2 linked regions of the Lonchura striata genome follow. The protein of the gene in region 1 purifies or fractionates together with the protein of each later gene. This does not show direct contact. Links are inferred from orthologs where the notes say so. Each region holds a gene or a part of one and is shown on either strand. Other genes may lie near its edges.

Region 1 (15,333 bases):
GAGAGTAAAATGCTGTAGAGCATTCATTCTGGTTCCAGTTGTGGAAATGGAGCATGTATAATTACCAGTGTGGGTAGCAGTCCATCTCGGAGCCTTACTTATGCCAGTGAAGGATATTATCTCATTATGTCAGCTTAGCAGTCTTCTTTCCCTGGAATTCAAAATAAGCAAGGCTCATAAAGGAATGATAGAAGAACTAATTATAAGGGACATTATTTTAAAAACTGAATAGTAGTCAAAATCCATTAATGGACTATTTCACATGATTAAACTACTTTCAAGAAAGTATCTAGGCTTTTTCAGCATAAACATTTCTACACTGAAAATGTAACTTGAACCTAATTCTATGGTCAGCTATTTTTTGAGTAAGTATAATATGTGCTTTCATTTATGACAGGGCAAAGATGAGTGAAATTTTTAACTTCATTATGTCTATCATCCAAAGTAATTTAGAAGATAATCCCGCTACATGGAGACTCTTCTGTACTACAATGCTAATAATTACTAATGTCTGGGAAAACAGAAAATAGAGCTGCTAGCAAGGACTTGTTTTAGCATATGTTTCAGGATTTCTATTTGGATAGAAAGTGATGTTCTTATTCAAAGATAAGATACCTCTGGACATTGAGAAATTTGTTGGGTGTATTTTTTAGGTTACAATACAAAAAAGCTTTGGTTTTTCTTCCCAGCCCTTGGTCCTTCAACCCAACTGAACCTCAAGCTGAATTACTTTCTTTCCTTCTTGATGATCAACTCCAGGAAGAAAGGTTCTGCAAGGCTGAGTCCATTTTTTGTTAAATCTGGGAAACCTTTCAATAAACCCTCAGTTGCAATGGAACTGTGCTACCCATCCCCTAGAAGTATGGGACCCAAAGAATCCTGCCAATGGATAGCCAAAGGGAAGAGAGGTTGCTACCAGGACACAACAGAAGAAGACATGGACATCAGCTGGTTACAGTGAGAGCCATTTAGGAGCAGTTTGTTCTTCACATAGATGCAAGGGTGAGAGATCTCTTTCCAATCTTGTAGTTTCTTTTCTGAATTACTGGTTCTTCTTGGGACAAGGAAAAGGTGAAACATTTTTATGAACATGTTGCTTCAACTTCCTTGGCAAGAAAAACATCCTATATTTTACACTGTGCAACTCATATAAGCAAACGTCTTTGGCAGAGTGAAAATTACAATGTTTGAGCAAAGATATGGGGTGCTTGTAGTTACAGAAAAACACAGATGCCCATTCATCCCAGAAAAAATTTGGTCCTGCAAATAGTTGTAACTCACTATTCTCCATTTCTATTTCTTGTATAAAATACAGGAACTCTGCTATGTATGACAATACAGGTGCCACTTGTGCTGGACTGAGCAAGCCACATACACTGCTTTTAGAGCAAACTCTGTGACAGATGGAGTACTGCAGGGTAGTCCTGCTGATGGAACCTGACCTGGTTTGAGATGCCTGACCTGTAGACTTAGAGATGATGGGAGCTGTTGTCAGAGTTGTCAAATTCCTGGCCCGGGTTTCATGGCCCAAGAACCTTTCCTGACATGTATGTCATGCATATATCCATCCCACTGTACAATAAACTTTTGAGACCCTATTTACAGCAAGAAACAGTTGAAAGACTGGTATTTGAAACTGAACTAGCTGAAACTGGTAACTGAACTGAATCCTTTCCTGGCAAGAGGAATGCACCTGTTAAATCAGCACCCTGGACCATATATATATACATCAGTAACTGCTTAACAAAACCCAGCCCCAGAAACAATGCTGCAGAGTACAGAGCTTTGTTAATGGGTTTGGTAGCAGGACCAATAAAGTTCATTGTTAAGTTTAGCTACAAATGGCATCCTTTGTGCTGCAGCTTTTTACATCAGCATTTAACTAGACCTACCAGTTGTACTAGCCAGACTGAGGGCGTGATCTTCCCAGAGACACTGGTTCCCATGAAATGAAAAACGGGCTTCTGAAACATTCTATGTTTGCCCTTGTCCCTCTGAAATGGACCTCTTTGCTTATGAGAGATTTCTGTGTGCTCTCTTGCAGGAAACAAACAGAAGAAAATCAAGGAAGAGTGAGCATTGATTGTTTTTTTGGTTGGTCGTCTGGTTGGTTGGTTGTCTGGTTGGTTGGTTGTCTGGTTGGCTTGTTGGGTTTTTTAAGACTTGGGAAATGTTGATGTTTAAGGCTCACATGACAGATAAACAAACCACCTACCACTCTGAGTGGGCAGCTGGGTCACTCTGGCCCTATCAGGCCAGCTCATTGATTCATGTCAGCTCTACCTCCAAGGGCATCAGCCCCGGATGGCATTTGCATCTTCAGTTCCCACACTCAGAGAAGAGTGGAGAGCAATTGGGCTGCTCCTGCAGAGCAGGGACTGAGAGCAGCCCTCATGAGATGAATTCCTGGGCTACAAGCTCAGAAGGTAGGAAGCAGCTGCGAAAGAGGCAAAGTCACTCCCAAAAGGCAGTTTTTGAGTGAGAATCTTTTGTGTATATGACCATCAACTAGCAAGAGCACAATTTGAAACTGTTTGACTGTGCTGCTGTAAAGTAAGATTTAGGAACAGGCACAGCTGTTAAACAGTGCCTCTTGATCCAGGAACAGACAAATTTCACTTTCCCAGGAGGGGGAAGAATCTTCCTTAGAGGCAGAGCTACCTCTGTGGGAAGCTGTTGAGAAGGAGCTGCAGCAACAGGGAAAGAAGCTAATCCTTCCCCCTAGATTTGGAGAAACGCACAGTGAAAATGGACGAATATCCATGAAATTACTTCCCAAGGGCAACTGAGCAAATTCCTGTTCTGTTTCCTCATTGATATGATTTTGCCTTGGCTAGGGCGAAATTTCAGCAGCAATAGCAGCAAGTCGACAGGCCCAGGTGAGCGCCAGCGCCGGCGGCCCGGGCCGGCGCTGCGCTTTCCCCGGCGGCCAGCGGAGGGAGGCCGCCGCAGGTCCCTCCGCCCCGGCGGGCCGCCGCACCGGCCCCGGTGCGTCCCGCCGCTCGGCTGGCAACGCGTGCAGCGCCCACCTTCTCCTGGTGGCCCTTGCCCAGATAAAAAAGCCAAGGGCACAATGAGACAGATGGCAGCTTCCTGCCGAATTAAAGGCACCGGGGGAGCTCAGGTCAAGCAGCAGACGGGGGAGTAGAGGAGAGGCAGAAAAGAATTTGGGGACAATAATCAGAGCACTCGGTCGCTCCGAAATCAGTGTCAGCAGGGCATCCGCAGACGGATGCGCCTGTTTGCGCGGGATCCCGGACTGCCGTGGTCGAGCACCGGATGCGGCGGCCCTCGGCTGGGTGGCTCTGCTGGGCACCCAAGGGCAACGAGGAAGAGCCGGGGTTCCTATCAGCCCTCCTGTAACTTGCCCTCGAGTTTTGCTGTGAAAACAAAAGCAAAACAAACAATTCCATTCTCCCCGGCACGAAAATAAAGCTCGGGCACCACACGGGCTGGTCGAAAGGACTCCATTGCCGTTTTTAAATGAGGTATCTTTGAAACCGCTAGCCCTTCCCCGAGCCAGCGGGGAGCCACCCGTATCCCTGGTATCGGGGAACAAAAGGCAAACTCCGAAGTGACATTGAAAATAAAAGAGAGCTTTGGTTACCCCCAGGGTAAGGTCGAGGCGGAAAGGTCGCCTGTCCACCAGCGCGCACACTGCCGGCGGGCGCGGGGAGCGCCCCGGGCTCGGCCCCGTGCGCCGTCCGCGCAGCCCCGAGGGCGGCTGCACAGGGCAGGCTGCAGCCCCCCGAGGCCCGGAGCCACGGGGAGGGCTTCGGCACCAAACCGGGGGGCAGTGAGCAACGAGCCCCCGCGCCGCCCGCCGCCGCCAGCCACCTGAAACAAAAAAGGTCTGAGGAAAATCAAACTGCCGGGGCCGACCCCCAGCCCGCCCCTCCACTCTGCACCCGCAGGCACGTCCATGTCCGTCTCCCCCGCGTCCAACCCCACCCGGGAGCCGAGAGCCCCTTTCCCGGCGCCGGCGCGGCCACAGGCCTGGGAGAGGGAAGGGGAAGGGAGGGCGGCGAGGTGACCCACTTAAAAGCTGAGTTCCTTTTTGAAACACTTAAGAGACGACAGGGTTGAGGACTGTGAATGTATGCGTAAATATATACTCACGCATACCCGCTGCCGGAGGTATGCACCCCCACGCTTGTATGTGTGTGTGTAGGCATGTCTGGGAACACACACAAAAGCACATGACTCCTAAGATAGCTAATGTAATATACTAATAGTTATACCTAAAAGCAGATAAATAGATAGAACCCGGCGGGATTCTGTTCGTAGGTATATACCGATTAAAAGTATTTTATAGCTAAATAAAAGGTGCTTATAATTTTAACTATCTCTACAGGCTAACTTTTAGCAAATTGTCTCAACAACCAGCTTCAAGAAATCCACTGCATAATCACCGCTGTCATGGGTGTATCAAAAACGCTTCAGGGCAACAATAAGTCTTGTATGTCGCTGTTGCGGCAGCGACAGTCTACTGACACTAAGAATGCCAGATGTGGAGGGCTTATATTAACTGCTGATAATTTCGGGAGAGGCGATCAGACAGTAGTTCACACATCGGGGCGAGTGATGCTGCTATCCACCCGAGACTACCGGGGCACCCATGTCTACAAAGAGCCCTTTCCCGCGGGTCCCCACGCCGTGCAGCCGCGGAGGGGCGCGGTGTGGCTGGCCGGTCGAGGCGTGCCCCGGGGCCCCGCCGCCCCCGCCCTGGCACGGCGGCCCTCCGCCCGCCGCCGCGGCTCCGGGAGCCCTGCCCTGGCACCCCGTACCTGGCCCCACCCTGGCCCTCTTGGCCGGGAACGGCCCGGCGAAGGAAAGGACGGGGAGGGTGTCGAGGACTAGGGCAGGAGGGCTCAGCCGTCCTCCAGCAACTGGGGAAAGAGGGAAAAGAGCAGAGCGGAGGCAACGCTGCCCTCCCTCGCACAGAGCTTTGCGAGTGGGGCCGCCAGGCACCGGTGGCGAAGGGGCCCCGAGAACCCCCAGCTGCGAGATGCTCCACGCCCTGGGTAGCTGGAGGAGCAACTGTGCGTGCTCTGCGGAGGGGTGAGGATTTTCGTTTTAGCCTTTGGTGGTCTCGCTGGTTGCCTTAGGTTCCCACGCCAGGGGGAGAGGTTTCGCCCGCTATACCGAGGGGTTTCTCCCACCCTAACGAGAAAACCAGGGCAGGGGGGCTTTCCCACAGAGAGGAATTGTCCCCATGAGCCACAAAAGGCGTTTCCCCCCCCACACACACACCCAGTGCGCTCCGTGCCTAGGTAGGGCTCGCAGGGTGCGTCTCTGGGAGGACTCCTGCCTTCTTACACGCCCAAGCATGTGCTTTCCAGGCGGGAGCGGCTCCCAGCGCCCTGCCCGCGGCCGGCAGAGACACAAGTCCTCCCTACACTATCACTACGGAAACCTCCGCTCCCGGCGTAGGTGTGCTGGGCACATCTTCCATTCTGGGGAGCGTGGGGAAACAGAGGGTGTATGAGCTCGTTCAGAGTGGGTCGAGAGGGGCGAGTTGCGGCAAGCTGCCTCGGTGGTGCCATTTTTCCAGGCGGTCATTTACATCTCTCGATGTAAATATATACATATACTGATATATACTGATGACCAGACGCGAAGAAAGCTCTCACAGATCTACTCTTGCCACCTCCAACTCGGACCTCTCTAGGAGCGGCTGGCCCCGCCGCAGAGCGCTGCTCCCGCGGCAGGACGGGCTGTACGGCCGCGGGCAGGGCCGCCTTTCGGCGCTGGGCGCTGGGGCGGCAGGGCTGGGCAGGGGGTGCAGCTAGACGTGCACCCGTGAACTGATCCAGAGGGAGCACGGAGCACCTCATGGCTTTGTATCAAAAAGTTACACCTAGAAAGCGTCTTTCTTGTTGAGAAAGAATTTGCGTGCGGTTTGCGTGGGACCCTTACCCTCTGCCCTCCGAGCCCTCCGAGCTCTGCCTGGCCGAACATATCTGATTCCCCTTGGGGAGGCACAGCAGCTCGTATAAAAAAGACATTGTTGTCTTTGGAGAGCCCTGTGCGCACTTTCAAAAGCTGATTCTTGAGTTCCCAGCCCCCGCAATCCAGTTGATGAGGAAACGCTCTGCGGTCTTGGTGGCACCGTTTCCATTGGGATTGGCACCATTTGATTGACAAAGTCTCCCATTCTTCCACCTCTCGAGTGTTATCAAAAGGATTGTGTGGGGTCAGAAGCTATTGAAGGGACGTCCGTGTAGCCGCATTTCTGCAAACACGGGGTGAAAACCGTGCCTTTCTCATGAAAATGCTTCCACCAGGCAGAACGCATCTCATCTTCCTTGCTCTCCTCCTTAGCATTTCTTTTTAACTCGAGTGTTTTACTAAGCAGCATCACCAGGTAAACGAACATTTCTTTAAAGGCAGCTTAGGCAGGACTCCGTCGGGACGGCCACCCTCCCTGGAAGCTGGGAGCAGCCATCTCTGGTAGACAAAACTTCGGTGGAGGCCTTGAAAGAAAAGAGAGACTGAAGGGAGACGACACCAGCGAAGTTTTCTCGCCCCTTGTCCATGGTCTGACTTGCCCTGTTATAGCTCATTTGGGGCAGGAAAGCAGGTGCAGAGGCTGACCTCTTTACACCGCGTCGATCTAGCCGGGCTAAAAAGTAGCTGGACGTGGCTGTGCCTGTACGCGCGCCGGTGTACTCCTAACTCAGCGGTCAGGCGTGCACAAGAGAGTTCCACCCGCTTCCCAGCAAAGGTGAACGGAGCTCTCTCGCATTAGCTTCCCTCTAGCAGACCGCGCGCAGAGCCAAGGCCCGACTCGCTCGGGATAACCTAAGCAAGCAATGTTTCGGAGGCGATTTAACCCGCGCTCACTCGAGTGAGAGGATAAATAAGCTCTGGCAGGCGCAGCCGGCGGCCAAAGGGTCGCTCGGGCGGCGCTCCGGGCCGGGGCAGGCGGCGGGGAGCCTGGCCCGCCCGCGGGGCCCGAGCCCCGCTCCGCGCCGCCGCCGCCGGAGCTGCTGCTGGGGCCTGCCCGCCTGCCCCACCTCGCTCTCTTGTGGATGGGAACGGGGTGTCTGCTCCTGCCCCACACGTTGCGCGGTCACTTGCCGCCTTTCGCCTCTGATTAAAACCGACCAAGCCGTCGTTTTGGTGGATCCTGCAGTATTTAAGTTTTTTTTGCTTCCACCCATCCCCTTCTTTTAAAGGTTCATGAAAGAGGCATGGGGATGGAGTGTCTGAGAAATTCGGGGTGAAAAAAAACAACCGCAAACCCCAAGCAAGCAAATCACTAAGGCAAGGTCGAGTCTCTCTCTCTGTGTAGGAACAAAACCAAAGACCATACTCAAAAATATGCGCAGAAAAGGGAAAATCCGGGGCGAGGGAGGAGGGTGCGGGGAGGTGGGGGGGTTGTAAAGAAATGTTCCAGAGATCTGTAAAGGAAAGATTTAAAGGTTTTAAAAGAAAAGAAGAAAAATAAGAGGTAAAAACCAATCGCCTTTCTAGCCCAAAATCGCCCTTCTCTGCCTTTGGTGACCCAGCAGACTCACAACCAGCCCACTTCGGGATATTCAGCCTTGAGGGAGCTAGTGCCGAAAGAAGCAGCTGAGATGATGTAAGAGAGCTGGAGGCCTGATTGAAGGAAAGTTCCCCCGATTATATTTGTGTGGAAAAGCTCACCTCTTGCAGAGCTCTAAAGTGTAATCAAGACTGAGGCTTACACTTGAAGGATGTTAACTCTCATACGGGAACCTACTTTCTCCTAAACGGTTTCTTGCCTAGTGAATGAGAGCCTCCCAATTGAAGCAAAATGATCCTTATGTACTAATATCAAGCACAGCCACAAAGCGACCGGCTATTTATGCTGCCACTTTAGACAAAGATATTTAGTTATTCCCGGGTAGCAAGTGCACTTTTGCATTTTTAAGCACGAACTAGCCGAGCACAAACATATTTACAAGTGCAATTACTAAATAGTTACTTGACACTTCAAAGTCCCAGGGTTAACTGTACCTTCGCTGTAATTTTCTTAATATTCAGGTAATCGCTGTATTAAATTGTGGTTGCCAGGGCCGTAGGCCGGGGTGTGAAACACTCGGGGGAGGTTTCTCTCTCCGCTAGGATCACCCCGAAATATAAGCTTTGGAGACACCAGACGCTGGAAGATTTCTTCAAAGACCCGAGTGACATTAGCTACTGGCTGCCTGTACGTGTGCGTGTGGCTGTGAATGGATCGCTTTTGTTTTCACACCGGATCCGAGAACGATCCGAAAGTGCCAGAAATTGCAGTTTATTAGAAACTACAGGGAATTCATTGGCAAGGTCGTGTAGCAGATGACCGGAGAGGTCTTCTCCATCCAGCTGCCGTGCTGTATAAATAACCTTAGAAAGCAGCTTCAGCTTCAGAGGGACCACGAAAGACTGTGAGTCTTTGCCTTTGAGAATAACAAGCGACATTTTGCGCTAACCTATTTTTCATCGGCCTCTCGTCCCAGGCAATTAAATTACTGCTTGATTTTGCAAACTTGTGGCTTCCACCCCTCTCTGAGATATTAAAAAAAGAAAAATCCCTAGCTGAAAGGAATTTGTGGGTTTAGGGAGACAAACGATCCTTGCACGGAGTGTCTTAGGAGACATAGAGAGTGTTCCCGAGATGCGAAACCCCAAGCGCTTGTTCAGCCCCAGCCGGCCGGGACATCTGACAAGCCAGTGCGGGGAATGCGGGGCGCGGGGAGCTGTGGCCCCGAGAGAAAGATCTGCCCTCAGAAGAATTGTCCTCCCGGCGGCAGGACTCCTTCCGGACCAAACTTACTGGGGGAAGAGGGAGATTCTGTCCTCTGGCTTACTGGCATTCCACCCCGTTTCCCCAGCTCTCACAAAGGCTGGTCTGACAGCCTTGCCACCCGGGAGCTGTTTTTAAATCCTTTCACCCAGTCAAATGGTGGTCTTTTTTGCTTTGCCTTCCATTTCCCGTCCACGATATTGTAACCCCCGAGGAAAAAAAAAAAAAAAAAAAAAAAAAAGAGTTGTGCTCACGGGGTCTTTTTTTTTTTTTCCCTCTCTCTCCCGTCCTCTCTGTCTCTTTTTTTTTTTTTTTCCTAAAGACATAAAAAAATTCTGACAAGTAAGACTTAAAGGTGTTTACCTTGTCATCAGCATGTAAGCTAATTATCTTGGGCAAGATGTAGGCTTCTATTGTCTTGTTGCTTTAGTGCCTATGCCCCGCCTCTGGTGGCAGCCTAAAACCTGGCGTCTGGCTAAAACAAACGAAAGGCAGCCCTGAGCCTCCACTCAATCCAATTAAGGCGGACTTCGTCCACTCGGTTACGTGTACATCCAACAAGATCGGCGTTAAGGCAACACCAGAATATCTGGCAAAAAAAAAAAAAAAAAAAAAAAAAAAAAATTTGCCTCCCCTTCCTTTTTTTTTTTTTTTTTCCCCAGCCGCCGAATCATGTCGATGAGCCCAAAGCATACGACTCCTTTCTCAGTGTCTGACATCTTGAGTCCTTTGGAGGAAAGCTACAAGAAAGTGGGCATGGAGGCCAGTAACTTGGGGGCTCCCCTGTCAGCCTACAGACAGTCTCAGGTTTCTCAGCCGGCCATGCAGCAGCACCCCATGGGCCACAACGGAACAGTGACTGCCGCCTACCATATGACAGCGGCAGGGGTCCCCCAGCTCTCCCATGCTACGATGGGGGGCTATTGCAATGGGAACCTGGGCAACATGAGCGAGCTGCCGCCTTACCAGGACACCATGAGGAACAGCGCTTCGGCGACAGGATGGTACGGCACCAACCCGGATCCCCGCTTTTCCTCAAGTAAGTCAGCTCGGGGCTGGGTGGCCGAAGGGGGCTTGCCGCGCAACTGCCCCGACACGCCGCGGTCAGAAGGCACTGGGGGTCCGCGACAGGGCAAAAGTCGGTCTCAAACCCAGCCGCGCCCCCCAAACCCCAAATTCCCCCTCCTGCCTAGGATCGTACCCGGTCTTTCCACCACGGCTGGTTGCATGTCAGCCTCCCGCGGCTGCTTTTACGGGGCAAGGGGGTTGGAAGGGCGGCTGTGGCGGGGAGCGGGAGCCTGGCTCTCGCCGTCCAGCGGGGCGGGAGCCTGGCGGCCCGGGGGCCCAAAGGGAGCCGGCGGTGCCCGTCCGCCTGCGCGCCGCCCGGCACATGGGGGGGCGAGGGGGGAAGCCGGAGGCGCCGGGGCCGCGTCCCGGGAAGCGGCAGGGGAGCGGCAGAGTCCTCTTCGGCCGGCGCCGGCGGAGCCGCTGTCCGCGGCCGCTGCCGCCGCGGCTGTCACATTAGGTACTTTCCCGGCTGTGCCCCCGGGCAGGACGAGGGGTGAGTGGTCGCCCTTATTCACCGGGGCTGGGCCGTGCGAGAAGGGGGCCGCCGCTCGCCCCGGGGACGTGAGGAGTCGTTGTTTGGAAGCGCGGGTGCCCCGAGGCCGCGGCCGGGGCTGGGCTGCCGGGGGGCTGCGGAGCTCCGCTGGGGCAGGCGGCGGCGGGGGCTGCCGGAGCGCGGGGCCCCACTCGGGCCGGGCCGGGCCAAGCCGAGCCGCCTAAAACGTGCCGCCTTCTCCCTTGCAGTCTCCCGCTTCATGGCGCCGTCCTCGGGCATGAACATGGGAGGCATGGGCAGCCTCGGCTCCCTGGGAGACGTGAGCAAGAGCATGGCCCCGCTCCAGAGCACGCCGCGGAGGAAACGGAGGGTCCTTTTTTCGCAGGCCCAGGTTTACGAGCTGGAGAGACGTTTCAAGCAACAGAAATACCTCTCCGCCCCGGAGAGGGAACATTTAGCCAGCATGATACATCTCACCCCGACTCAGGTCAAAATCTGGTTCCAGAATCACCGCTACAAGATGAAGCGCCAGGCCAAAGACAAGGCTGCGCAGCAGCAGATGCAACAGGAGAACGGCTCCTGCCAGCAGCAGCAGTCTCCCAGAAGGGTGGCAGTGCCAGTGCTTGTGAAGGATGGCAAGCCCTGCCAAGCAGGCTCCAACACACCCACAGCAGCTATCCAGAGCCATCAGCAGCAGGCAGCTACAACGATCACAGTGGCTACCAATGGCAACAGCCTCGGACAGCATCAGAGCCACCAGACAAACAGTGCGGGGCAGTCTCCAGACATGGGACAGCACTCGGCCAGCCCTTCCTCTCTGCAGAGCCAAGTCTCCAGTTTGTCTCACCTAAACTCTTCTACTTCTGACTATGGCACTGCCATGTCTTGCTCCACCTTACTATACGGTAGGACCTGGTAAAAGGATTAAACAAATAAAAAGGGGAAAAAAAGGCAAAAAGAAAAAAGAAAAAGAAAACCAACAAATTTTCCCAGTTACACAAATCTCTGTCCTCTCCAAACTACTGTGTGCTTTTTTTTTTTTTTTTTTTTTTTTTTTTTTTTTTTTTTTTTAATGTTCTCCCTTTCCCCCGTTTTACTGAGTGGTCTCTGCGGACCTCTAAGAGAGAGAGAGAGAGAGACACTTTTTTTGTTCCATTTTATTGTTACTGTTGATGGTTTTGGGTCTTTATGTTTTTTGTCCCCCAGATTTGTCCTGTGGGGTGTATAAAAATATTCAGACTAATAACCATGGAGCAGTCTGCAGAAAGGGGACCATCTTAAGGCATGGTTTGAAGACTTGGATATCAGATGTACACTTTGCCAGCGTCTAGGACTTGCATGTAAATACAGAGATTTTGGGGGATGGGGTGGTTTTCCCCCCAAAAATACGCATTCGCGTCACCCAGACACAAGAAGCAGCTTCCCCCTCCCCGGTCTCTCCCAGCCCGCCACCAGGGCCAGCGGATGGAGACGTGGAGTCATCAAAGGCTTGGCTTTTATTTTCCTCCTTACGTTTGATGTGAACCTGTAGCTGTATAATGCTGTCAAAAGTTGGACTAAACCCATAGTTTTTAGTAGCCTGTATATTTTGTTGTAAAAAGAAAAGGAAAAAAATACAATCAACCAAACAACCCCCCACCTTTTTTATGGACACTGATCACCCCGTCGTAAATCCTCCGGCAGTTTGTTATTTGCGCACGCCGCCTTTTCCTGTTGTAACTTATGTAGATATTTGGCTTAAATATAGTTCCTAAGAAGCTTCTAATAAATTATACACATTACGAATATTCTTTTTTATTTCCCCCTTTGGTTTCCCCTCCCGACGCTCCTTTCCTTACATCTTCCTCCTTTTTTTCCCCCCCTTTTCCCCCCTCCGCCCCCCTCTTTTTTTTATTCTTGGTGGAAAAACACCCCGGGATGTTGTCAGACCCCGGAAGGCCCATGCCCCTCCCAGGGCCCAGACCCTATTCCCAAAGGAGAGCTGTGCCAAAGGGTTAACGGGTTACAGGATCAGTCCTCAGCGTGCAAAGAGGACAAGCAAACGTTTGGGATTCACGAACTCGAAACCGAAGGAATCAAGTCCAAATTCATTAGCCCGATTATTTTTTGGGGGATGAGGGCGGGGGGCACCTCAGCGATTTCTTGCTAGAGAAAGAAAAGTATTCCGGGACTAGAAATTCAAATGCCAAAGGCACGGAGGAGAAAGAAGGTAAAAGTCTAACGCCATTAGAAAAAAAAATAAAATAGCGAAGAACCTGCTGTCAGTATAGAACGTGAGTCCGATTTAAAGTGTCCAGTTTTAATACCTTGTAAGAAAAAAAAAAAAAAAAGAAAGATAATTTCTACCAGGTTTTCCTATGTACTTGTATTTTAAGGGAAGTACAGTCACCTTATTTATAATCAAAATAAAAAGATAGTTTATTGTGTACAACATGTAGTTTGAATTAACTTTCTTTATCAGGCTGTGTTTCATTTTCTACATTTCCATATATTTAATTTTCTACATATCCAACCCCACACGGCCGCTCACGGGCACCCCACTTCTCAGGCGGAGGTCAGCCGCAGGCTGCGGCTCGGCGGAACACAGACGGGCTGCGGTTGGTTGGTATTGGGTGCTCTTTTTCGCGTCGCGTTGTTTTTCTAAGGGGGGATTGTTAGTTTGCTTGTTTGTTTGTTGGGGGGTTATTTTGCGGAGCTATTTGACAAGTTGTAAAGAAGGAGATGAGGAGAAAGTGTGTGCGCGCACGTGGGTGGGTCCGCATAGGTGCGCGCCGGGCTTAGACACAGAAGGTAAAAACTATCGGCAATGCGAGGCGGTTAGACGGTAACTTTCCTGTAAATATATAAAGCATATGAAGCCAAACAGCTCGTGTCTGACGAGTCCGAAATCCCCGTAATTCTCTATTTTCAGGTCCCAAATATCCCTTTTGCGAGTGTAGCAAATTAAGAAGTATTCTTCTTCTAAAAGACCTCGTAGCGTGTTTTCCTTTGCATCTGCTGCTCGGTTTCGTTTTTTATCCTAATTCCATAGAAAGCGACCGCAGTCATTGAAACAACTCTGAATTACAGAGGGGTTACGAAATAATAATATTTTTGAAGTGAAAGAAAACAGGTTGCCTGGGATGGAAACAACCCAAATTCCAATTTAAGTAGTAGCTTTTGAAAGCTCCGGTTCTTTATTTATACAAGATAGCCGATGTTAGTCGGACACCAAGTGCTAGTCTGGATGGAGAAAAAGGGAAGTACACGGAAGAAAAAAAAAAATGTATCGGATTCTTTCCGACCCCCTCCCCCTTATTTCTAACTGGAGGACATCACGTGTGTCAACAGGAATTTCGAGACCTTTCATTCTTTAGGTTATGTCCTGATTTATACAGCGATATTCTTAACTAACCCAAAGATTATTCAAAATTTTTTTGTCCTTCTTCTGCTCAGAATATTCATTTCAGATCTATAGCATCGTGTTAAGCATGGCGGGGGGATGGGTGGGGGGAGCGGCAGTGTCTGGAGCTTAGTGCTGTTATTTCTGCTAAAAGAAGAAAGTGCTGGGGACTCCTGGACCGTGGTGCAGAACTGCCAGCTTCCGCGGAGGAAGCGAGGGCAGGGTTAACTTTAAGGAAGTTTTCAAAATTAGGGTTAGTTTCTCCCGGAGTTTATACGCAAGAACGAGGGAAAAGTGTATACATTTCCCCTTCATACGTAATTAATGTGCGTTCTTTCAAACCTAGGAATGTTCAAAAGTGAGGAGCACCGAAAGGCATTAATACAGCCGAAAAATATTACAGCCCCCGCCCCCGAATATTGGAGTTAGCATGTTTGATAGAGATCCAGTCAGTGACTTTTCATTATAGACTTCGGGGAAAATAAAGTAATTTTATTGTGTCTCGACAACCTCATAAACACATATTTGGTGGTGGGTGTAATTACTGTAATGGATTATTATGTACACTGACTTATCTTTCTTAAACTAGATTTAGTTTCGATTAAATAAACTCGTTTCCACTTTGTCTGATGTCGGCTTAGTTTAAAGTCTGTTTACTTGTTCCACAGAAAGGTGAATTCATCTCTTTATTAAGCACTAGAGACCGAGCAAACACAGTTCAAACTGTATTTACATATCAATCAGGAGAAATGCAAACAAACTGCTCTTTAACAATTTTATAGAGTTTTTTTATGACATTGTGATACTGCCTTTTATCATATATTTTTTTCAGTAAACTAGTTATGCCTTGATTAGGACGAAGATATTTGAAGGGAGGGGTGTAAAAACGGTTTAGTCTCCAGTCTCCCTTGAGAATACTCGTGAGAACACAGTTACTGTATAGCTTTTTAAAATTGAAATTAAAATATGTTCCTCCGTCTAAACTCCTGCTTCTTCCAATATGCTGGTTTCCAGTCTCCCGGTAATCAATGCAGAACTTGGATAATGGGATGGCAAAGGGGAGGGGCAACATGATTCAAATCTGAAATGATGGAAGAGATTCACGCTTCCCAATATAACTGCTTTATCCACGCTAGACCATGGGCACCCCGTATTTTGAGAGATAAAAGGATCTAGTGAAGAATGGCTATTCCCTCCCACTCCCCCACTGCCTGGCACTGCTAGTAAGTGTAGGAGAATCACGGAGGGCATTTTTTCCTGCTGTAAATAGGAATTCATTCTTAAGTTCCATGAAGTGTGCGTGAAGTGGCACAGTAGGCTGTGGGAGAAAAAAAAAAAAAAAAAAGAAAAAGAAAAAGAAAGAAAAAACAGCAGTAAAAACAACAAAAACAACCCCAAACGAAACCCCAAACGAAACACAAACCCCAAATAAAACAACAACAAAACAAAATCCCAAACCCTAACAAAACCATATCGCTACTACGGCCGCAACAGCAACAATAGCAGAAGTCTTTTTCATATGGGCTGCTCCATATCAAAACGGGCTGTGGGTTACTGAGTTTTTTATTTGTTTCACTGCAGTCTGTTAGCAAAAGGGATGCTTGGGAGGAAGGGCTCAGGGGAGCCGGGGGCGGC
Region 2 (15,592 bases), about 570 kb from region 1:
ATTGGGAATGTAGCACAAAAAGTTCTCTGACAGTTACACTCTGGGGACAGTAATCTGTAGCAGAAGAGTAGAGTAAACGGCAGAGGGGTTATCTCTTAAATCAGACAGTGTCAATACTGAAAAGACTTTTTGTTAGTTGCATCTAGCTGAGCTGAAGGAAATACTTTTTTTTTCCAGTGATCAATCTATATTGAATCCCTTGTGCAGTAAGCAGCCATGGAAAGGTTTTGTGGAATTAGTATTATAAATCACACATTCAATCCCTTTGTGGGTGTTGAAAGCATTGTCATTCTTCTAATCACTATATCCTATCTTTGATCCATAACAAATATGCACACCCAGCTCTACTAATCTCCATTATGATTGTATGATATCTGTATTTGCCAGTGCCATGCCAGCAGAAATAGTTAACATTTTTTTCTTCCTCCTAGGATTTTGGGCTTTGTCTTTTATTTTCTCCTCTCCCCATTTAAGAACATTGGTATTTCCTAATATAATATAATGTAATTAGGAATAGATACAAATAAAAAAGTTGAAAACCAGGTGAAGCTCTATTATTATAAACAGTATTTATAATGAGAAGATCAATACAATGAGACAATCACTTGGTCATTTTGAGTGATAATGATTCACAAATTTATTTTTAGTATGACATGACGGTAGTGTTTCCAAGTACATGTTATTTTATTATATAAGAAATTACATTAGCTACTTCTGGAAGTCCATCAAACATGGCTGTTATTATATGCACAAGGTCAGAGAGACATTCCTGTATTTGAATAAGGCTGTAAGCAATAAACAGACATTACAGCTAAACACCTGACAAAGTCTTTTCTGGGACTGGGCCTTTGCTTGCTTTAGTTTTAAACTTTGATTATATTTGATCATATCAAAGATATATCTCTACCCTCCATTGTCTTTCAATTAATATAGCAGGTTTCCAATTGGCCATTCCAGTCCAGCTCTTGTGTTCTCTTAGGACAACAGCTTGATAGTGAATACATAGGTGCAGTTATATATGTTTATATTTATAGATCTCAGGTTTCACATAGCTGAAGACTCAGCTTTGGTGGACATAACAGTCTCACTTAATCATAAGAAAAAACTTCATATCACAGCAACAAAAAGAAATGCCCCTCAAAGGGCAAGGAGAGTTGTCTGCAGAGGCTGAAGTTCCAGCAGCCTCTAAGGATAATACCAGAAAAGTTTTAAAGGATTGCTAGGAATGGATGGATTTTGGAGCAAATATTCATAGATCCTGAAAAGGGGAAAATTGTTCAATGGGTAATGGCAAAGCCAACTGATGATCCATGAAATTGTTTGGATGCAAGAGAGGAGTTTTCTCTTTAGGAGGAACTGAAGGAAAGTTTAGGTGTTAGATTCCCTCAATCATCCCACATTAACACATAAAAAGGAGTAAACCTGAAACTACATGCATGGCAGAAACACTTAGGCAGCTGTCTTATTGGCTAGAACCCTTTCTAGGGAGGAGGAATTATTTAAATCTGATTCTTACCTTGTCTCACCTGTAGCTGCACAGAAAACTGAACCCAAGTGATGGAAGCCATGTGGTGACCTAAATAATCTTCATAATGTCAGTCTCTTTAAACTACTCAGCAGTTTTCAAATTCACCCTTGAAGTACTTGAAGCAGCAGCAGAAGTTTAGACCAACTGCTGGAATTATGAAATACTTCAAAATACTGAACAGCTTCTTCCCGTGGGAAGTCCTAACATTTTACTAAATCCAGACCTTCCTCTACTTTCCCATAGTCACTGGTTGACTATACTGTTTTATGGATCTCATGCCTTTAGGATGTTACCACTTGATACTCACATTCTCACATTTCAGAGTAAAACTACAGACTGTGTTAGGATCTCTGGTCATCCTTTTCCAGGGCAAGCATCATTTTTGCTATACATAGGTTAGTTATGTCCTGTAATGGAGTAAATGACCAGTGTTTGTATATCTGTGAAAATGCTGCTACACATCCCACAATTGCTCATTGTCCTTGTTAATACAGGACAAGAAAATGAGCTCAAGAAAATTCAGCTTGAATTAATTTATGCTCTAGGAACTGCAAGCTGGATAACACTGTGGAACTGCTCCCTGAGGAGGAGTTTAAATAGGCCAGCCTTTATTTTGAACATTTAATTCTTCAGAGCTGTCAGACAAGAAAGCCATCTAGAATGGATACCGGTCTCTCCCAGTGTTTTTCTGCAGAACTACTGCAGAGACAGAGACAGTGAAATAAATAGTTTTTGCAGGTAAAGTAGAAGATGGCAAACAATTTGAAAATATGTTGATATGCAGTGAAAGAAAGTAGCATTCCTTCACTCTCCATCACTCAAAATTAAAGGTATCAAACCAAGTCTACTTTCTGCATAGGAAAGTCAGTTTACAAAGGAACTGGAGTAGTATATGAAGATGAATATTACAAAGAGGTGATCAGCTCTGAATCTATAGTCCGATACATAGATATTGTTTTTTATCAGTAAAGCCGATATTCTCAAAGATAACTCATGCAGGTTTTGGAGAAAGAAGGCTATCAGAGCATGGAAATGCCTTTGATTCCAGAAGCAGATACTGTTGGAGCAAGGGAAGCAGATTTCGGTCCATTAAATTACTGGGGCAACTTTAACAAATAAATAATTCTAGAATTCATGCATAGGTGCATCTCCTATCAAGTGTTGTTTTTTGTACCAGTTTATTTAGTTTAACAGCACTCACTGCCTTAGTTTGCTTTCTTTGCTTCCTGCAAAAATCCATATATATCCTGAAACACCATTTTTGGAACCTGGGTGAGATTCTGCAAAGTGGGTGCCATCTAAGTACTTGTGTTTATCTGTGCATAATCATATTCCCATCTCTTCTGATAATGTGTCTTCCATGCCATAGTACTGTGGCTGCTTTAAAACAAGACACCCTTTATAACAAAATAAACCAAGCAAGATTTTCAAAAATATATCAAATAATTGAACAAGAATAGACACACTGATTGAAATACACAACAGAAGCATTTACATTTATGTTTCAGTATATCATAACATAAGTAAAACAAACTATAAGTGAAATAAAAACCTACATGGCTGATCTTGAATCAAAATTTAATTATCAACCGAATTTATTCTTGTAAAATTAAAGTAAAACACACTTGGTCAATCACATGCTGAAGTGCGGGCATTCTGCCAGCTGGAGTTCTGGAAAGGGCATACATACATCTAACCATATTAGCAAAAATAAACTGGTTGTTTATGATAGGTAATGATTTACCTAGTTACGAACTCTTTATTACACTATAGAAAAAACCTGAAAGAACACAAAACAGAAGCTCCCTTATTCTCTGTAACCATCTGATATCAACATCCATAATTTTTCATTTCATTATTTGTTCCTCTTTCTCCTTTAATTGGTCAGATACATGAGTATTTTCAGATGGTGGAATATTATTTGTTATGTTGTTCAAGTCTTATGATATCAGTTCTGCAGAATGCCTAGAAAATGAAATGCAATGTATTGCACTGAATATAAAAAAATAAAATAAAATAAAATAAAATAATAAAATAAAATAAAAAATAAAATAAAATGAAATAAAATGAAATGAAATGAAATAAAATAAAATAAAATAAAATAAAATAAAATAAAAAAAAATATAAAATAAAATAAAATAAAATAAAATAAAATAAAATAAAAATAATCCTGCAGCGGAATATCACTGTTGTAATGAGCAATGTCTGCAGGGCCTGACAGAGCGGCCATGGAAGGAGCACGGCCCTGAGACTGACCCGTGCGAGCCCGCGGGCCCGGCGCCCCGGGAGCGGCCCGAGGGCGCGGCCGCGGCAGGACCGGGCCTCGGAGGGGCCGCGCTCCCGCAGCCCCCGGGGCACTGCCCGGCCCCGCCGCCTCTGCGCCCGGCGGCGGCGAGGGCGCTGGAAACCCGCGGCAGAGGGCCCGGCAGCGGGCAGGCACCCCGCCAAGAGGGGTGAGACCCCCAGCCCTCCCTGCCGTGGATGGTGCGGCGGAGAGGGCGCGTCTAGTTCGCCCCGGAGAACCAGACCACGGCTCCTGGGGAGGAAGAGGTGCTGTAGGAAAAGGGGGTGCCCTACCTTGGGCCGGTCGCAGGAAGGAGGCCACTTGATGGTCACAGTCGAAGACTGGAAGAGTACTCTCACTTAGCAAAAGCTCAGAAGCAAATGATGACCCCGTGCAGTGCCCTCTCTGCCTGGGCCCTGCTCCCCAGGAGAGGAGGGTGAGAAGCCGCCTTTCTCGCCCGTGGCTCCGGCCGTGTCTGAGGGGACCCCCATGGGCTCTCCTACATGAGAACGGGAGCACAGAACCGGGGCGGCTGTGCCTGTGTGAGGGGCGGAGGGAGGGAAAACAACTCCGATCCGGCTCCTTCTCTGTGGGCTCCCCGCGGAAGGAGAGGCGCTACCGGCAGTCACCTACCCCCGCTCCCGGAGCACCCACGATCCCTCCCCGTCCGAAGCTCCGGACATGGGCACGTTCCCAGACGGTTACTGTTTGCCCGCTTGAATGTGGGAGGATTTCGGGCTGGAAATGGAAATAGACGGGAAGAAAGAGTTCCCATCGTGGGGAGAAGGTGGGGGAGGTGACGGGGTCCCACGATGTTTTCGGCGACCCGCTGCACAGGCTTGGGCCAGTCTGGAAAGCCGGGTATGAGGGACCCTGCGCAGGAAACAGATACGCGCAAACGAAAAGAAGGATGTACAGTATAGGGCAGGGAACGAATACCGATGCGGAGATAACCTCACAGCTCCTTCCCGAGCTAAACGTCTGGCCCGCGCAAGCACTGCCGAGAGAATCTCTTCCAAAAGACGATGGTATTTTGGATAAAATAAAGCCCCTGCAAGTCAAACCGAAGGACCGGCAGATGCTGCTGCTGCCAGGGGAAACAGACCAGAACGAACTGAAACAGCGCTCCACGTTAAAATTAAAGCTCCCGCCGCTTGCATCGGCCGCCCGGCCCACGCGTGAGAGAGAACCTGCGGGCGGCGCTCCCGGGCGGCGATGGGCGACCGGCGCCAAGGAGCTCCGGTCCCCGTGGGCAGCGCCGTGCCGGGGCCAGCTCTGCTCCTCGAGCAGCTGCGGGAAGCTCCTTCCCAGGGGCGAGGCCACTCGGCCCGGCCAGGAGGCGACGAGATTCCCAAAACCCAGACACTTGCTGAGTGGCCTTTGTGGGGCCCACCTTTTCCTGACGGCGCTGGAAACACGGTCTCCCCTGAAAGTCCTGCCCCCGCTCCACATACATATTTCCATAATTTTTAGGTCAGGTTTTATGTTTGCACCCTTGGTGCAAACAGAGCAAGCACACCGGTGGAGCCAAGACCCTGATCCCATCTAGCTGGGTAAAGCAGAGCTCACCTCAGCCTGCAGTTTCTCCAGTTTGCACTAAAAGCTCGCCCTGAAAAAAAATAAGAATCAAAGAAAGAAAAAAGATGAAACAAACAAACAAAAAGTGTACAGAAACTGGTGCTACTCGAAACAGAGCTGGGGAAAGGTACTGTGTAATTGGGACCAGCGCTACTAACCTGACTCCTGAAAAACGCATCATCTAGGCGCGACTGGAGAGCTCCTGGCTACTAACACAGCGTCCCGCATCCTAGGAGAGTGCTTCTGTGCTGACCCTGGTGCAAAGGATACTGATAAATCCTGCTGGACTCGCAGAGCATCCTACATAGGGCTTCACTACATAAAGGCTCAAATGCAGGGCAAGGGCAACTACCGAAATACCCGCTTTTTCCTGTGGCCGTGGGCAGAGGCATCCTAACCCTCTTCTGGACTTAAGGGAGGATTTTCTCCACCAGGGCTGCACCACAGCAACCGGGCTGAAGAGAATTTCCAGCAGCGGCTGGCTCTGACTAGGGCTTGCTTATTGTACGTCAGGTCGAGAGGCTCTAAGCAGATTAAGAGAAGATCCTGCCTGTGCTCTCACCTCTGGGAGCAACCTCAGGAGGGAGCTGAGCCCGCAGCCGGACAACAGGAGGCGCTGAGGCTTTGCACAACCCCCGGCTCTCCTCCCCTCCCGGGCAGCGGGCATCCCAGCCGGGGCGGCCTGGGGGCGGCCGGCCCGCAGGGCGGCTTTGCCGGCTCCACGTTTGCTCCGCCCGATGAAACGCCTCCATGGTTTGTAGCAGCATCCGATGAGCGTGGCCGGCTTTGTGCCTGGCCTTTTTTCCAGGTACAGGGTGACCCAGCGTGGGCTGCCCGGCGTCCCGTCGGGTGTTGCTCCCGCGGGGCTGGGCTCTGGAAAGCGAGGCAGCACCGCCCCGAGGTCACCCAGCGGGGGGGTGCCGGCAGCGGGGTCTCGGGGGCAGCCACACTCCTGCCAGCATGTCCGCATGCGGCTGTGCTGCCAGGGGGGAACCATACTCCACAGATCTCAAATACTGAATTGGGCAAGCCACCACCGAAGGGTCCCTGTTTTCAGACATATACACCGCTTCCATTAGGAAAAGAGTGGGGGTGCCTACATGAAGACTGCAATCTTAATATTTCTTAGGTATTCTATTGAGGTTTGTCCCAATTTCCATGGGTGTAGCTTGACCACTTGAGAAAACAGGGGTCTAATTCACTGCTTTTATATATTTTATTTCCTTCAAGACATATTTTCATATGCTGCTCTCCTCTGCTGATTCCAGAGTTTTGTTTCGAGGATTTGACTTAATTCTGTTGCCAGATTAAAAAAAAAAAAAAATTATGAGGAGAGAAAGAACAAAGAAAGGGGTAAGAGAAAATGCATTTAGAGAACAAGTTAAAACGTATTTGTCGTGGCAGAGATATGCTCTATCTCTGCTCTATCTCGCCATTTGAATCCAGTGTCTCTATAAGAAACTTTGAAATCCTGTTTCTGGGGCTATTTCCACAGACCACTCGAGAACAAATCACTGTGGAAGCAACTGTGGCCATGCTGAATGATAAACATGTCAAGCTGAAATTCAGACCCAGGTGTATATTATAGTTTGTGTGGTATGATGTGCAAGTTTTTTTCAAAATCCCAAGAAGCTTTATTTCCCCTTCAAATTTCCACTGTTGGAAAAGTTGTTTGGGTTTGGGGGGGTAGGGTTATTAGCTGCTGGTTGGTGATGTAGAATTTTTTTTTGTTTGTTTTGACTTTTTGGTTTTTGTTTTCTACTATGAGATGATAAAAGTTCTAGTAGCTACGTGAGAACGAACTCACAAGGGATAGGATAGAGAAACCTAAGAGAAGTCCGTGGTGTTGACATAGGCTCGAAGAGCCGGACAGGACAGAAAATGTTTGATCCCTCTGCAAAGACTGAGAAATTCCTCCCATAATAATAAAAAGCTTTTTCCAATGTCAGTTTGTTTTATCGGTGTTTTTTGCCTTTTACCAGCCTGTGTAGAATCCTCCTCCCCGGTTCGTTGTGAGAAATCAGGTCAGTAAGCAAGAAGTTGGAAATGAGATATACCCGCTACCTATTATTGCTGCTCCTGGACGTCTGGCATCAAAGAAAGCTTCCAAATGAGCCTTCTGGGCTGAAGGCTTTCCACAGTAAGGATATAAAATGGTTCTAGTGACTCACCTGATGTTTGCCAAGTGGAGGTTAATATCAGTGGATCCGCATTCAGGCCTCTGTCCGTATTTATTGGGAACCTGTAGTATTATGTCCTCAGCACGGTGACTCACATAGTTTCTGAACATAAGGCACCCGAAAAAGCAATATCATTATCACCATTTACATAGGACGGCACCCCGTTTGAAGGGCTGTTTTAGTCCGGAGGAGGAGGGTGGTGGGATGGGGGGAGGGTTGGGACGGCTTTGGGGGGCGCGGAGCCGAGCCTCCTGCTCACAGCCCGGAGCGCCTAATCCGATCCCCTGCCCCGAGGGCGATGGGAACGTGGGGCGCTGCGGCAGGGCCTGGAGGTACCTACGCGATAACCAGCTGTGAATGGACGAGCGGGAGAGGGGGGAACCTGTGGACTTCAGGACTCGGGACTTTGAAGCACGTCTCGGCCATCAAGTTAAAGGAGCATCTACCGGCCTTTAGTAAATATTGCCTCTAATCTCAGGGGTTTAAGGCTGGATGGCCTTTTGCATTCTCTTCAAATAGAGGGGGCTGCCCTTCCTTCATCTGCCTCATTTCATTTCCCCCTATCCCTCCTAGCATATGTCCTGTCCACCTGAAAGGGTGGTCGTGCCCGTCCCCCGTCCCATCCCGTTCCGCCCCCCGCCCCCCTCTGTCCCCCTCTCCCACCTCTGTCTCTCCTTCTTTCCCCACAAGCTTAAACCAATTACGCAGCTTTGCAAATAAAGTGCTGCCCCGGGGGGAGTTGCAGGCGAGGGGGACTGCCTTGTTTGCAGGTGCATCTCCGGCTTTGTAGGTGCGAACGCCTTTGTGCGGCGGACAAATGGGGAGAGGAGGAGGAGGAGGTGGGTACTTCTGCGACGTAAGATCCACATCAGCTCAACTCCACTCACATCCCAGCCGCACTTCCTCACTTTCTCAACTGTCTCGCCCCACACCGCTCCCTGCCTCCTTTTTGGCTGGTTATAGAGCAGAATTCAGCACCCCTCGCCCTTCCTGAGAGCTGGTTTCCTGCTAGGTCGGGCTTTCGGGCTCTTTTCCTACTGCCCGTCGCTCGCTTGCAAGAAGGCTGGATGGTTACACCGGGCAGGTTGGCTCCATAATGTTAGGGACTGTGAAAATGGAAGGGCATGAAACCAGCGACTGGAACAGCTACTACGCCGACACTCAGGAGGTGAGTAAATCCCAGGGTCTGGCTTCTCTGCTGCCCCTGTGCAGGGGAGGGGAGGACCTGGGGGTGGCTAGGGGTCTGGAGGGGGCAGCAATCGGAGGGATCGGTTTGCAGTACAGATCCTGCCAACGCAAACGTACCTCCCCCTCCCTCCGGCGCCGAAACTGGCTAGGCTTCCCCAAGGAAAACACAGCTTCCAGGAGCCCTGGAGGCGTTTGGGGAAGACACGGGGCGGCTGCGAGCCCGCCAGGAGGGCCGGGGGGCCGGGGGCAGCCCTTGATCTCATCTAAGAGGCGTAATATTCTCTCGCGGCGGGCACAAAAGCACCCCGAAAACTCTTGGCTCGGGGCAGAGAGCTCGCCGCGCCGGCGGCACCCGACTCCTTCCCGGCAGATGGCAGGGGCCGAGGGAGACAGACGCCAGCGCGTTCTGGTCGGGGGCAGCGGCTTCCCCCAGCTCCTCGGCGGGACCTCCGGCCTCTCTGCTCGCCAGCGCCGGGCCCTCACCTGTTAAAGCGGGGGAAAGGAAAGGAGGGGGAAGACCGGCAGTTTGTCCGCACTTTGCGGACGGGCTGCCCGCGGCGTGCGCTGCTGCCGCGGGCCGGCTGGCGGCGCTGCCGAGAGCCGGGCCGGGGGGGGCCCGCACCCGGACCCGCCGCCCCCCACCCGGACCCGGTCCGGACCGCCGCAGGCGCTTCCGCCCCCCGCGCCCCTTTGGCAGCGACGTCCGTAAGGCGGAGGAGAGCCGGCCCAAGCGCCCACAGCTGCGGCGGAGGAGAGGGCCGCGGCAGAGCCCGGAGCGCACCCCCGGCGCGCCTCGGCCCTGTGGGGCCTGGGGTCCGCGCTGTGCCGCTGAGGCTCCGCAGCGGGGGTCCCGGAGAAGCCAGCGCTCGGCAGCACGGCCAGCAGCACTGCGGATTCCCGCCCTGGAAGGAGCCGTTTTGAGGAAGTGAGGCAGCGAGGCAGGCACCTGGGTGTGCGCACCCGGGCATTGCATCAGCATACCCGGACACACGGCTCCACAGTCCCCACGCCTCGTCCCGCACCCGGAGCTGGCACACGCGCCCATAGGGCCACGCGGACAGAGGCCGATACGTGTCACCCGGCTGGCATCTCCTTTAATAAAGGAAAGTCGGCTAAGGGCAAACAAGGGTCATCCTAATTACGTGCCATTTCCAGACTCATTTTTCCTCGCTTATACGCATTGTCCACAAACATAAAGTTAAGGGAACTTCGCTTTTGCGATTTTTTTAAACTTCCATCTTTCCTCACCTCTTGCCATTTAATTTGAATAACTGCATGAATGCAACAGGGAAACCCAGCTGCGTTCTACCATCTCAAATATTTAATGTGATCCTCTAAATCAAAAGTGCGTTTATAAGTTCGTGAAATTTATTGGGATCAGAAATGAATTTTAAATATTTAACCGTTGCTTAAACCTCTTTTTCTTAGCCATATTAGCCGTATTAGTTCGAGTAAACTGGGAACGTCTTTCTCTCTCCTGTTAAATCAGATACCGTAGTGGAAAGCACAAATTCAAGCTCTCCGGCTCTGCCCTTTTTAAGAGTTATGTGTTTGGGTGCTTCAATTTTTTCCACGTCGTGCAATTGTAGAAAATCTCAGAGAGGAGAAGTTCAGGTTTTTCCTACTTTGGAAAAGTTTTGGTGTTTGATTGGTTAGTTGATTTTTTTTTTTTAACTTTAATTTAAAGACTATTTTGATAGAAAATGTAGGCAGGGGGAAGCTTTCCACAAATAAAACAGACCAAAAAGACCTGTTCCGTTTGGGTGAGGGTTTTTAAAATTATTTTGCAACAAGACATTATTCCATCTTGTATGTTTTTTAGGAAAGAAATTTAAATTATTGCAGGAAGGGAGACATGCGTGAGATTTTTCTCAGCAAATACAAGCAAACAATGTACATCCGCCAATTTCAATACTCTGATGAGTTTAAGTATTTAACTAGAGAGACAGGGCACATAAACAACAAAACACGGGAATGCGCTGGACACGTCCTGCCGGGGCAGTCTGAGCCCGCAGCCCGGCTCCGCGAGGGCTTGGAGCGGTTCAGGGAAGACGCTCGGTCCGTGCGCCGCTGAACCCGGCGCAGCCCGCGCAAGCTGCGACACGCCGGTAAACCGGGAGTGCGTCCGGAGAGAGCACCCCCGCTCCGTGTTCGTTTATAAATTTAAATAGATATGAAATAGACCTTTTCATGGAAGCAGCTGCCTTTCCGTGCTGCTTTGAGGAAGCGTTTTCCCCTGTGTCGGGGAAGCGGCCGGCGTCCCGCGGCAGGACGTTTGCACGGCTGGCTGGGCCGGGCGGGCGGATCCGGCCCCTACGGGGTCCTGCCACACCTCTCTCCTCTCTAACTCCGTCTCTTTGTCTCGCTGCCCTAGGCCTATTCCTCGGTGCCCGTGAGCAACATGAACTCGGGGCTGGGCTCCATGAACACCATGAACACCTACATGACCATGAACACCATGACGACAAGCGGCAACATGACCTCCAGCTCCTTCAACATGTCCTACGCCAACACGGGGCTGGGGGCTGGGCTGAGTCCCGGCGCCGTGGCTGGCATGCCGGCAGGCTCGGCGGGGCCCGTGAACGGCATGCCGGCCGGCGTAGCCGCCATGGGCACGGCGCTGAGCCCCGGTGGCATCAACGCCATGTCTGCCCAGCCGGCCCCCATGAACGGGCTGAGCCCCTACGGCAGCATGAACCCCTGCATGAGCCCCATGGCCTACACCCAGTCCAACCTCGGCAGGACACGGGACGCTAAGTCCTTCAAGCGGACTTACCCCCACGCCAAGCCGCCCTACTCCTACATCTCCCTCATCACCATGGCCATCCAGCAGGCACCCAGCAAGATGCTGACGCTGAGTGAGATCTACCAGTGGATCATGGACCTTTTCCCCTACTACCGACAGAACCAGCAGCGCTGGCAGAACAGCATCCGCCACTCGCTCTCTTTCAATGACTGTTTTGTCAAGGTGGCCCGGTCCCCCGACAAGCCCGGCAAGGGCTCCTATTGGACCCTGCACCCCGACTCCGGCAATATGTTTGAAAACGGCTGTTACCTCCGCCGGCAAAAGCGCTTCAAGTGTGAGAAGCCGGCTAACAGTAAAGCCACTCAGGAGGGCAGGAAAGATCAGGCTGGGGCCTCTAATTCAAGCTCCAACTCCCCCCTGCACAGAGGCCACAACAAACCTGCGCAGCTGGATACGGCCACCTCTCTCTCCAGCTCCAACCCGTCCACCAGCCCTCAGTCTATGGACCACAGTGGATCAAGCACGGAGCTAAAGACCTCGGCCTCGGCCGCCTCCTCCACCATCAGCTCTGTACCAACCTTGGCCTCCGTCCCACACCCCCCTCACTCATTAGCCCATGAACCCCAGCTCCACCTCAAGGGTGATCCCCACTACTCCTTCAACCACCCGTTTTCCATCAACAACCTCATGTCCTCCTCGGAGCAGCAGCACAAGCTGGACTTCAAAGCCTACGAGCAGGCGCTGCAATATTCCTCCTACGGGGCCAGCATCCCCGGCGGGCTGCCCCTTGGCAGCGCCTCCATGGCTGGCCGGAGCAGCATCGAGCCCTCGGCCCTAGAGCCCTCCTACTACCAAGGTGTGTATTCCAGACCCGTGCTAAACACCTCCTAGCTGTGCAACCCCCGCCGCCGGGGCCGAGACCCCTCCTCCCCTTCCTGGCTTCTCTCCCGCTTTCCCTGAGACAGACCAAGGTGTTTCCGCACGCTGCGTGCAAAGGACTGTTACTTTTTAATTGTCTCGCAACGCGTTGTCTGTTGTTATGATCCACCACGACCTCCTGCAAAGCCGGCCGTGTCCCGCTTGTACATATTCCCTCCGGCTGCCCAGCCCCTCTCCCCGGAGACCTCCCCAGCCTATGCAGGGTGTTATTAAAAAGAAGAAAAAAAATGTTGAGCGTGTAAACTACTTGTTTGTGCTTTCTGCCCCCTCGTCTCCCTCCCTATGTGTTCTATAATCTCATGTAAGTTTACAGGTATGTGGCAATACTTTAACAATACGGAGATGAAGAAGCGAGTAGACATTTAAGACTTTTTTTTAATTAAGAAGGCTTTGAAGGACAATACTGCTGTGAAGTAGCAAAACACTAAGAGAATCTCTAAGCAACAAGAGAACTATTTACTTTCTCGGATCATCCTTTTGATACTTGCAAAATAAACCTTCGGCTACTACAACCCACATAAAACCCAGATGCTGCGGGCCGGATCCTGCACTCCCGAGGGGACCAACTGGAGCTTTGGAGTGCAGGATGCGACCCTTATCTTTTTCCAAGTGTTACCTGTTTTGGGATGTAATATAAAGTTACAAGAGGTCACAACCAGTTGGATTTTTTTCCTCTTCCCATCTGTTACTGAAGATTCTAGTTCATCAGGAACTCTCATCAACATGTGGATGACATACTTATTTAAGTGTATTCATTGTATACCAGCTAGAACTGTGTATCTATAACCAGGTTATTTTCCCCCTCCTCTAGGAAACATTGACTACTACACTGATGCAAGGAAAAGAGGACAGCTCTGTCTCTCCCCCCTTTTCAAACTTGTCTAATATTTTTTTTTTTTTGTGGCCGTTTAATTATCGCCATCGTTAGCTTATATCATCCAGTGTTATTGCACTTTCCACAGTTTTACACGGTGTTAGCATAGCCAGACGGGTTTTATTATTATTCCTGTTCGCTGTTTCAATGTTCTTAATTTATTGCATGGTTTATATTGTTTTCTTTCTTTACAGCTGGAAATTGCTTTAAATGACCGTAAAAAATAATTACACGTGAATTTAAGAAATTTTGTTAATTTTATAAATGTGATTGTAATTGAAAAAAATATTTTGATTTAAAACGATAACTGAGAATTTAATGCGTGAAGTATGTTTTTGATCATTTGCAGTTAAGGACTTTAAATAAATCAAATGTTATCAATGAAATACTTCTGCTATTTTCTTACAAAATTTCTGGGACGGGTTACGGAGGACGGAGCCCTGTGCAAGAAAATCAAAACGTCGTGGTTAAGTGTGGATGTGAAGAGGAAAGATTTATTCGGCCAGGCTTGTGCAGAGGGAAGGCGGGGGACGCTCCCGCAGGGTATGCTTGTGGGGCGCTGCGATGCCACCGGCCTGTGAAGCTGAGTGTGTGGTAATGTCTTTTATTTTATTTTTTTTCCCCCTCCCTAATTCACGGTTCTGGGATATGGTGAGGGATGGCAGGAAAAAGCCTCCCGAGGCGATGTAACCTCCTGGGTGTTTTGCGGCCAGGGCTGCAGGGGCGGCGGCAGCCAGGCTCGGCGTTTCCCCGCCGAATGGGACGACGCCCACGGGGAGCATCCCCAGGGCGGCTCCACGCCGCTCTCGGCCGCTGGAAAGGCCCAGATCCCGCTTTGTAGTTCTGGCTCGGAACCATCCGTCGGAACGACACCAGCAGCCGCGCTGCAGAGCTCTGTTCCCCAGCAATAGACTTTGTCGGGGGAGGGGAGTTTAATTGTGAACGGATTTCGCTGTGCCGAGCCCCGTTCGTGCGCGGCCGCCAGATGAAAGAACTGTGTAATTCTCGTAATTATCACATAATTGCCCCCTGACGGGTTAGGGACAGCGGCGACAAACTAATTTAAGGTTCGACTTAGAAAAGAAAAACCAAGCCAGCATCCTAGAAATCTCACCACATCCCTCCAACACTACTACCCAGCTAAAAACGGGAGGGAAAAAAAGTCTTGGGAGAGGCTCTCTGCTTTGCAAAAGTGGCCGGATCAGCGGTGATCCCGGTCGGAGATGCGCGCACGGCTCTCCCGGTGACACGGAGCTGTCTCCCTCGTCGTGCTGTGCGGTGCCCTGGGTCGGGCGGGCGTTTACCGCAGGTCCTCCCCCGGCTGCCGAATGCGAGTCCTGCAGCGCGGGGGAGGGGGCTCTGTCCCCGTCGCCGTGTGCGGCCGGTTACCCCATGGCCCGACTGTGCGGCACCTTCGCTTCTGAATATCCCGAAATGGCAAACATCAACAGACCCCCCGCAGCCAGGGGCAGCTCGGGGCTGCTCGGCACCGGGTCTGGGCAGGCGGATCCTATTTAAAGCCCCGCTTCTTCTGCCAAAAGGAGCTTCGTGAGAATCGAGAGAGGATGAAGCCAATTTTCTTGTCTCCCACAGACTAGTCTATAGAGAATATGCTATAGCAGAGTGGAGACATTGATTTAATGCCTTGGGCTTATACACGGAAAATATCAATCGACTGACAGCGATAAGGCAGCAAGTTTCACATATCAGCTGAGGAGCACAGACCGTGTGTAATGGAAATATTTGGGGCGTGGGTAATAAAAGGGTTTAAGCGGACCGACGCGGCTCCAAACCTCTCAGAGATAAGGAGCGGAGCCTGTCACGGATGCAGCGTGTGCCCTTTCGCCACTCGCCATCAAGATTATATTCCTCCCCTTTCTTCTCGTAGGCAAATGCTGTCTGCGATGGAGAACGAGCCACTGACAAGACAGGGATGCAGCTCATGTTAAAAACGCGGGTCCCCGGCGCAAAGCACGCAGCATTCTGTGATCAGTTTAAGACCTGGCAATCGACAGCAGGGCGAAGAGTCCCGTTTTACATTCCACTCCTAGCTGCCCTGCTGCTGCTGCTGCTTTAACCCTGTGCTCAGGGAACCCCGAGCCACAGGGCAAATATAAGCTAAAAATGGGATCCACAAGAAGAGGGTGCATCCCCCCGCCCCGCAATGTGTATAGAGGAGTTTACGAGCGTCTCCTTCCAGCCGGACCGGTCGCTCTGGCGGGTGCGGGGCTTTTGCTCCTGTCAGAGATGGTGTCTTAGCCCCGCGTCCGGGACA

What was found.
Region 2: the proteins of NKX2-1 (region 1) and FOXA1 purify together in Homo sapiens (affinity purification with western blotting; 3 studies listed by BioGRID and IntAct, with this or other methods). This does not show direct contact. The link is inferred for Lonchura striata from reciprocal best matches to the Homo sapiens genes NKX2-1 and FOXA1.

What each region holds. Positions count from the first base shown.
Region 1 is NC_134608.1:24,781,257-24,796,589, forward strand, and holds NKX2-1 (homeobox protein Nkx-2.1), read left to right. Parts: upstream 1-9,384; 5' UTR 9,385-9,427; coding exon 9,428-9,794; intron 9,795-10,564; coding exon 10,565-11,235; 3' UTR 11,236-11,264; downstream 11,265-15,333. UniProt on the Homo sapiens protein: Transcription factor that binds and activates the promoter of thyroid specific genes such as thyroglobulin, thyroperoxidase, and thyrotropin receptor. Crucial in the maintenance of the thyroid differentiation phenotype.
Region 2 is NC_134608.1:24,212,869-24,228,460, forward strand, and holds FOXA1 (hepatocyte nuclear factor 3-alpha), read left to right. Parts: upstream 1-8,427; 5' UTR 8,428-8,666; coding exon 8,667-8,738; intron 8,739-11,132; coding exon 11,133-12,395; 3' UTR 12,396-13,703; downstream 13,704-15,592. UniProt on the Homo sapiens protein: Transcription factor that is involved in embryonic development, establishment of tissue-specific gene expression and regulation of gene expression in differentiated tissues.